Macaca fascicularis: one gene and its partner. Each later gene encodes a partner of the first gene's protein in a complex. Links are inferred from orthologs where the notes say so. Each region holds a gene or a part of one and is shown on either strand. Other genes may lie near its edges. The genes, in order: TCN2 and CD320.

What was found.
Region 2: the proteins of TCN2 (region 1) and CD320 are in contact, whole or in part, in a crystal structure (PDB 7QBF), measured with the Homo sapiens proteins. The link is inferred for Macaca fascicularis from reciprocal best matches to the Homo sapiens genes TCN2 and CD320. Residues at the interface, in NP_000346.2 of Homo sapiens: Asp70, Leu71, His74, Lys77, Leu78, Gln81, Gln82, Glu91, Asp92, Arg120, Gly121, His122, Lys123, Asp125, Arg126, Val128, Ser129, Lys132, Trp133, Glu136, Arg140, Lys169, Arg170, His172; in NP_057663.1 of Homo sapiens: Thr57, Lys58, Leu66, Cys67, Val68, Pro69, Trp72, Asp75, Arg76, Asp77, Leu78, Asp79, Leu133, Glu136, Cys145, Ile146, Pro147, Thr149, Trp150, Asp153, Gly154, His155, Pro156, Asp157, Cys158, Pro159.

Annotation. Positions count from the first base shown.
Region 1 is NC_088384.1:21,050,178-21,054,469, reverse strand, and holds the start of TCN2 (transcobalamin-2), read left to right. Parts: upstream 1-1,209; 5' UTR 1,210-1,420; coding exon 1,421-1,484; intron 1,485-4,292. UniProt on the Homo sapiens protein: Primary vitamin B12-binding and transport protein. Delivers cobalamin to cells.
Region 2 is NC_088393.1:8,999,567-9,003,868, forward strand, and holds the start of CD320 (CD320 antigen), read right to left. Parts: upstream 3,025-4,302; 5' UTR 2,990-3,024; coding exon 2,863-2,989; intron 1-2,862. UniProt on the Homo sapiens protein: Receptor for transcobalamin saturated with cobalamin (TCbl). Plays an important role in cobalamin uptake. Plasma membrane protein that is expressed on follicular dendritic cells (FDC) and mediates interaction with germinal center B cells.

The DNA of each region.
Region 1 (4,292 bases):
ATTTTTTTTGACGTTACTTTCCTAGTTCTGGCAAGTACCCCTGCTTCTGGTAGTTTTGTGTCTCAATTGATTCAATCTCATTCTTTTTTTTTTTTTTTTTTTTTTTTTTTTGAGACAGAGTCTCGCTCTGTCGCCCAGGCTGGAGTGCAGTGGCGCGATCTCGGCTCACTGCAAGCTCCGCCTCCCGGGTTCACGCCATTCTCCTGCCTCAGCCTCCCGAGTAGCTGGGACTACAGGCGCCCACAACCGCGCCCGGCTAATTTTTTGTATTTTTAGTAGAGATGGGGTTTCACCGTGGTCTCGATCTCCTGACCTTGTGATCCGCCCGCCTCGGCCTCCCAAAGTGCTGGGATTACAGGCGTGAGCCACCGCGCCCGGCCCATTCTTTATTTTATTTTATTTTTGACACAGGGTCTCACTTTGTCACCCAAGCTGGAGTGCAGTGGTATGATCTTAGCTCACTGCAGCCACCACCTCCTGGGTTCAAGCAATTCTTCTGCCTCAGCCCCCCAAGTAGCTGGGATTACAGGCATCCGCCACCACGCCCTGTTAATTTTTTTTTTTTTTTTTGTAGAGACAGTGTTTCCCCATGTTGCCCGGGCTAATCTCAAACTCCTGGGCTCAAGTGATCTGCCTGCCTCAGCCTCTCAAAGTGCTAGGATTACAGGCGTGAGCCACTGTGCCCAGCCTTAATCCTATTCTTTAACTTGTTTTGTTTTGTTCTCTCCAGGAGGCTCCCAGCTCTTTCAGATTGGTTGAGAAAAGTGGCCTGGCTGGTCTGGGGCCAGCGGCACCCCTCCCTCCCCCAAACTGCCCAACTCCCCCACCCCTGCAATCCCCTCCTCCACCACCAAGGGGGGTGGTGCTGAAAAACAACTGACTCCAGCAGTGCTGCTCACGTGACCACTGCAGCTGCAGCTCCCGTTCTGCTCCTTGTCCTGGGCTAGGTGGGCACTACCAGGGGCTCCTTCTGTAAGGAGTACTAGGTAGGCACCCGGTCCTGCCGATCCACCACTGGAACAGCTAAGGGGACAGCAGACAGGCACGGTCGGACAGACTTGGCAGATCAGACGTCAGGCCCTCTGTGCTAGTCCCGGGCTCTTTAAGCAGGAACGTGGATGGCCTCAAGATGGCTCACATGGTCCCACTCACCCTCCTCCTCCCTTTGTTCCCTGCCTCCAGGAGGGCTGCTCTGCCCTTCCTTCCTCTGTTCTTTGGCCTTCTGTTCCCTGCCACCACAGACCTTTCCACCCTCTCTCTCTGCTGACTTAGCAGCGCATTGCAGGCCTGGAGGATTAATCAGTGACAGGAAGCTGCCTGTCTCGGAGCGGTGACCGGCTGTGGTCAGGAGAGCCTCAGCAGGGCCAGCCCCAGGAGTCTCTCCCGATTCCGGATCACTGCTCACCCACCTGCTGCTGCCATGAGGCACCTTGGGGCCTTCCTCTTCCTTCTGGGGGTCCTGGGGGCCCTCGCTGAGATCTGTGGTGAGTAACTCGCCTCTGTCCTGTGCCTTGTTCCTTCTGGGTCCTTAGGAGGGTGACTGGGGCATAGGATGGGGGAACTTACCTGCCCCTCTGGGCTCCCATAGCAGTTTGGACTTAGCTGGACCTCAGCATTTAACACATCGTATTGCGACTGATTATATGTCTGACTCCTCACCAGACAAGATCTCCTCCGTTAATTCAGTCTTTAGTTCACACATTCGTTCAGCACATAGTTACTGAGCCTTTTCTGTGTCAGGCCCAGTGTTAGCCTTTGGGGAATGTGCAAGGCGTGAGACAAGTCTAATTCCTGCCATCCTAGAGCTTGTGTTCTGGGGAAGGGGGACAGACAAAAGAAATCAATGGTTAGGTGCTCCCACCTGAAATCCCAGCATTTTGGAAGGCTGAGGCGGGAGGATCGCTTGAGTTCAACAGTTCGAGATCAGCCTGGGCAACATAGGGAGACCCCATCTCTACAAAAAATAAAAAAAATTTAAAAATAGCTGGGCATGGGGAAGACTTTCTGAGGACCGAGAGGGAACATGGGAGCTGAGACTCGAAGGAAGAAAAGGAGCTGGCAGGAAAGGAGTGGGGGACACACATTCTAGGCAGCAGGAAGTGAGTCTTCAGAGGTCCTGCCTGCTCCAGCTCTGTGCCCCAAGGGGTCTCTTGGAGCACACTGTCTCCTGGGACCTGTCTGTGAGTCTGAGCTCAGAGGCTCAGGGCTGCTCCTTCAGACAGGAGGCAGAAGGCAGGCTTCGGGACTCTGGGCCGCCCACGCCTCTTTTCCCCTCCTCTGCACCTAGGATTATGCTCAGCAATACACTTTCACCACCGTGGGCTCTTGTAACTCTGGGGAAACCCTGAGAGGTGGGTGCAGTCATATCCAGGTGTCAAGTAAAGAAGTCGAGGGTTGGAGGGGCTGAGTGACTCGCTCAGGGTGCTCCACCTTTACCAGAGCTTTGCTGAACTTAGTTTTTTAGAACTTTTCTTTTTTTGTTTTGTTTTTTGTTGAGACAGGTTCTCACTCTGTTGCCCAGGCTGGAGTGCAGTGGCACGATCTTGGCTCACTGCAACCTCTGCCTCGCGGGTTCAAGTGATCCCCCCACCTCAGCCTCCCAAGTAACTGGGGACTACATGTGCATACCACCATGCTCGGCTAATTTTTGTATTTTTTGTAGAGACAGGGTTTCGCCATGTTGCCCAGGCTGGTCTCGAACTCCTGGGCTCAAGTGATACTCTTGCTTTGGCCTCCCAAATTGCTGGGATTACAGGCGTGAGCCACTGTGCCCAGCCAGAACTCCAAGCCTCTCATCTGTGTTCCATAAATAAATCAGACTCCTCAGGTCTGGGCCCAGGAACCCCAGCTCTTGGTTCATGTCTGGACAGTTTCCCAGGGGAGTTCTGGGTTCAACCAGCCAGAACTTTCCCTCCTGCAGACCTGGCTGGCCTGGTCCTCAGCCTTGGACACTTAGTCCATTAGCCTGACCCCACAGGAACCCCCATCCCTTGGGGTCTGGGGAACCTTGAACTGGGATTTGGGGTGCAAATATCTGTGCTGAGTCACTTGATTGCGCCCAGCCTCATTCCTTTACCTGTAAAATGGGCTAAGAATGCTCCCCTGCCTTCCTCCTTGGTGTAGTACAAGGGAGGATCCCATGACACCTGCTCTTCCAGTTTAAAGTTCTGTGTGTGTATTGTGAAATTGACAGGGATCACTGCACAAACGCTAATGCAAAGTGGGCTCCTGTGCTTCCTTTTCTCCTTCTTCTTCTTTTTTAAAAAATTTTCTTATAGAGATGAGGTCTCACTATATTGCATGGGGTTGGTTTCAAACTCCTAGGGTCAAGCGATCCTCCCACCTTGGCCTCCCAAAGTGCTGGTATTATAGGCATGAGCCACTCTGTCTGGCTCCTGTGCTTGTGAATGTCAACAGCAATCAGCCCTTAGCTGGCCTGGCTGGCCTGGTAGGGCAAGAGCTCACCCAGGGCTGCTTTTATTACCCTAGGTGAATCTGCCTGTCCCCTTCCTTCTAAGGAGGCTGCTCTGTGGTTGTCAGTCTCTCCCTTTACAGCTGGATCCTGGTCTTTCAGTTTCTAACCCTGTGCTGACTAATCGTGCTGGAGGTGAGAGCCCAGGGTGAGGTCAGGGAACTCCCTTGCGAGTTTCAAGAAAAGGGAGAAGGAAAGAGAGGTGAGGAGGCACAGATGACCAGAGGGACACAGGCTGGGGGAGACTGAGACAGACCCAGAGAGCCTCAGAGACATTGAGGGAGAGAGACAGAGAAATGGAGATAGACATCAAAATTGGTTCTGAGTGAGAGAAAGGGAAAAAAGCAACCCCCCAGTCTCTCTTCATTAACATCTGGTGAGAAACCAGCCATGTGCTCTGGTCTGGGCCCACACAGCAAAGGATTATGTAGGGTTTCATGCTAGTGGATGGCTACCTTATAGCAACAGATATCTGGAGCTGTCGGGAAAACAGACACGAGGTTGTGGGACCCAAACCCACAGAGATGGAGCTGTGTTCTAGGAGCTCTGGTCCTCGCACCAGGAGGCCCAGGAGGCAGATGAGGCATCTTGCAACAGCTCCTTTTCTTAGTCCCCTGGGATATGGCACAGTGGAGGCCACCATCAGGCAGCTGGAGCCCAGCAGCAACTGGGAGGCAGTAAACGGGGACAGAAAGTCCAAGGTGCCTCCAAGGCAAACTACTCTAAACTACCCTGTGCTGAGCTCAGGTCCCTTGGAACTATCCGTAAGGCTTCCACTTCCAGGGTGTTTCAGTATTTTGGTTGCACAGCTTCAAATAAA
Region 2 (4,302 bases), on another chromosome or scaffold:
GAAGTCCTGGGATGTAGGAACCACACTGGCGGCTGCTTGTTACTGAGCCCCTAGTACAAGTGCGGTTCAGAGTGTGGCAGTTCCTGGGCTCACCAAGAGCCCCACCGGGCAGGTGCTACTGCACTCCCCAGGTTACAGAGAAAGGAACTAAGAGGAGGCTACAGAGCTGGTGGCAGAGGCTGGGTGCGGTGGCTCATGCCTGTAATCTCAGCACTTTGGGAGGCCGAAGCAGGTGGATCACTTGAGGTCACTGAGACCAGCCTGGCCTACATGGTGAAACCCCATCTCTATTAAAAATACAAAAATTAGCTGGGCGTGGTGGTGCGTGCACTGTAATGCCAGCTACTCGGGAGGCTGAAGCATGAGAACTGCTTAAACCTGGGAGATACAGGTTGCAACGAGCCGAAATCATACCGCTGCACTCCAGCCTGGGCCACAGAGCAAGACTCCATCGCCACAAAAAAAAAAAAAAAGAGCTGGTGGTGGAGTTGGGGTTCGAACTCAGGTCTCACTGATCCCAGAGTTTTCACCAGGCTCCTTACAGCGAGATGATCTACCCAGGAGACCTCTAAACTCAGTGGTTAAAGAGACTGGGGGACAGACCATTTTTCCACATGCCCTGGGTCAAGCTCACGGGCTCAGGTTAGCAGGGAGGGTGTATCTCCTCTAGGTAGCAAAAGGGAAACTGAGGCACTGGGTAGAAAACCTGCTCAGTCACCAAGTCCTGTTGCCTCGCCTCCTGAATTCCTCCCAGACCTATCACTTTCCCCATCCTAAATGTGTCAGCTCCTCACCAGAGCCCCAGGCCCCAAGGTCCATTAGGACACCAGAGAGCTGCCCTTCCTGCTCTCCTCTCTACACCCTGTGTTTTCCCCTCAATTTTCAGATCTCAGCTGATTTCCTGGGACGGTTCTCAAGTCCCTCTCAGAGACCTAGGAAGCACTGCCTCCCACGTCTGACAACTGTCCTCAAAGCCCTGGTCATGCCTGTCCACCCACAGACTGGACAGTCTGTGGAGGTCAGGGCTGTGACCTGGCTGCCTAAACCCAGGGCAGTGCCTGATCATAAGTGGACACAGGTCACATAAGGGTTCAAGCTGGGTCCAGAGAAGATCCAGGCTGTCCTAGATTCTGAGCAGGGAAGCTTAGCTGTTTGCCGACCTGGAGAGGCACAGAGGGGCCTGGAACCTGGGTCAAGGAACAGAGGAAGGGAGTGGCCTTCAAGGCTTCCTCCTGGGTGCGGCCAGGAGAGGTGGCAATTCTGCCACCTGGCTTGGCTTCACTCTGCCAGGGCGTTTAACCTCTTCCACCTTTACCCACCAGCCATGAGCCTCCAACCCCCCACTGCCCACAGTCAGCCCCTCCCCGGCCATCAGGCCCAATTGCACCTGCTTGCCACACGGTCCCTGAGCTCTGTGGAGCCCAGAAGAGCTGTGGACAAACCAGAGCCAGCTTCCTTCCCTGCCCCCAAGGGGTCTGGCAGCCTCCAGGTGTGGCTCTCCACCCAGGCCCAGACTTCCACAGCCCTGACACCTCTGACCTCCCTTCACTGGCCTGCTGGAGTGTGTGTCCCTCTGCAAAGTGGACAGCAGAGCACAGCAGTCCCCGCCTCATAGGGTGGTAAGCCTGACAGGAGTTAGAGTGACCAGTGACTTTCCCTCCTGGCCTCAGTTTTCTCACATGTAAAAGGGGTATGCTGGGAATCCCTACCTCAACATCCTGAGGACAAAGAGACTGTGTATAGAGTTTTGTCCTGTAATCCCAGCACTTTGGGAGGCTGAGGCAGGCGGAACACTTGAGGTCAGGAGTTCGAGACCAGCCTGGCCAACATGGTGAAACCCCATCTCTACTAAAAATACAAAAATTAGCCGGGCATGGTGGTGGTGCCTGTAGTCCCAGCTACTCGGGAGGCTGAGGCAGGAGAATGGCATGAACCCGGCGGGCGGAGCTTGCAGTGAGTGGAGATTGCACCACACTCCAGCCTGGGCAACAGAGCGAGACTCCGTCTCAAAACAAAAAAAACAACAAAAAAACTTTTGTACTTGGTTAACGTGAACCCTGCCTCCTTTAAAAAAAAAAAAACAAAAAACCAGGAACATTTAGCGTGAATGTCAGGGACTTTGGGATGAGTCCAGGGACCTAGAAAGTGCAGAATGCACAAAGGAGCTGGGAAAGTGTGTGAGCTTGAGCCCAGAGCTGCAAGTTGGGAGTGCCTGTGTGCACAGGGAAGCGACTTCAACCCTCCCAGCTGCCTCTAGGAGTATCAGAGAGGGAGCCCGTCCCTACTGGCCACCACCAATACCACTTAGGCCAGGGCGAACATGCCCACGGGGGTATACTGAACTTGTGACCCCAGTCTCTGCGAGGGCCTGGAGTAGCATGGGGGGAGAGACCTCGCGTTCTCCAATGATGGAGGACAAAGGAGAGACGGTCGCGGAACGGTCACAAGGCCTGGGCGCGAGGGTTTGCAAGGCAAAGGTGCGAGAGGCACCACGTGACCCGCCCTGCGTGATTAGCGGTCGGACAATCTGAACCTGCTAAGAGCTTTCCTGACCACGCTGGCATGAAGGGCGGCTTGGAGGTGACAATGGGGCACGACAGAGCAGAGCAGGTGTGGAGAGGGTGCACAGTGCCGGGGCAAAACCGTTAAAGGCAGGTGGAGGCACCCTCTCCCCCTCCCCCAGCATGGGGTCTCCCTAGCTCCAGCCCGCGCCTTCCCGCAAGCGATTAAGTCCAAGTCCACGTGCTGGGGGAGTGTCATGGACGGACGTGCGGTGCAACCAATGGCGAGGCGCTGTCGGAGCGCGGGGGCGGCGCGAATCCTCACGAAAGGTGGGAGCCTGCTCTGCCGGGGGTCACTCACCTGAGGCCTGGGCAGAGGTCCGGGTGGAAAGCGGGGTGGCGGCGACCTCCAGGCCTAGTCCGAGGCCGAGCAGCAGCCGCAGCGCCAAGCCTAGAGCCCCTGTTCGCTGCGCTCCACCCCGCGCCATCCAACCGCTGGTCGAGCTGTCCCCACAGCTGCGCCGGCCACGCGCCGTCCGGACCTCGCTCTTATCCCTGCGCACGCGCACGCGCGGGGCGGAGGCGGGGCCCAAGCCCCCGAGTCCCGCTGCGCCCGCGGCTACGAGTACCGTAAATGTCAGAATAGGAGGAAAAAGAGAATTACAGGCCCGTCCCCCACTTTCCCCAGTGACGAGATCAGTCGAAAGGTATGGAGGCCGCTTGAAGTCAGAAACTTCTGGGGATGGAAAGGAATTTGCTGGTGTTCATTTGGATTATTTCCCGTTCCATGTGAGGACTGCTGCAAACGTTACTGCCTCGTGATCCTCTTTAATATGGCAGCCACGCCCCTCAGGCACTCCCCATTTCCTCCCACATCTCACTGCTTTTGTGGCGCCGACAGTTAATTTATTTTATTTACTTATTCTGGTTTATTGCCCGAGTCCCCATAGAATGCCAGCTACTGGAAGGCAGGGATCTTCTATTGCTCACTGCTTTATTCTCAGGGCCTGACACATAGTGCCTCACTCACAGTAGGCTCTTAGTAATTTGGTGAGTAAATGAATAAATGAAACGTCCATTCTCGGAGTCGGGTTGCTTGGGGGAAAAAAAGGAAAGGAAATTAATTAATTTAATTAAATAATAAAGGCCGGGAGCGATGGGTCACGCGTGTAATCCCAGCACTTTGGGAAGCAGAGGTGGGCATATCTCTTGAGCCCAGGAGTTGGAGATCAGCCTGGGCAACACAGCAAGTCCCCGCCCGCCTCAAGAAAAAAGAAAATTAGCTGGACATGGTGGCTGTAACTTGTAGTCCCAGCTATTCAGGAGGCAGTGAGCTGAGACCACATCATTGAACTCCAGCCTTGGTGACACAGACTTCATCTCAAAAAAAAAAAAAAGTCGTGTTCATAAAACTTGGTTCAGACGCCGTTAGTGGCATGCCTTGCCTAGGGTCTTGCCCTCCTTGTGGCCTCTGCACACCCTGCCTGGTCTTACTCTCCCTCCTGACCTTTCTGAATGTGATTCATCCTTTTGCCCCAAGCAGAATGCCTCCTCCTTGGGCTGTTAGCCTTTGTAGGACCCACTCTGGGACACTTGTACCTGCTGCCTGCAGCCGTGGCCTTTCCCCTTCCAGAGGGCAGGGCCGGCTCAGCACCCTCTCGATCCACAGCTGATCTTTTCTAGCTGCTGAAGGGGCGGGGCTGTGCCCTGGGGAAGCCATGACGCTCCCCTGCTTAGGGTCACTGGGTGGCTCCTGCGGCCAGACTTGGCCACCCTCCCTTTGCAGATTTCTGTCTCCTCC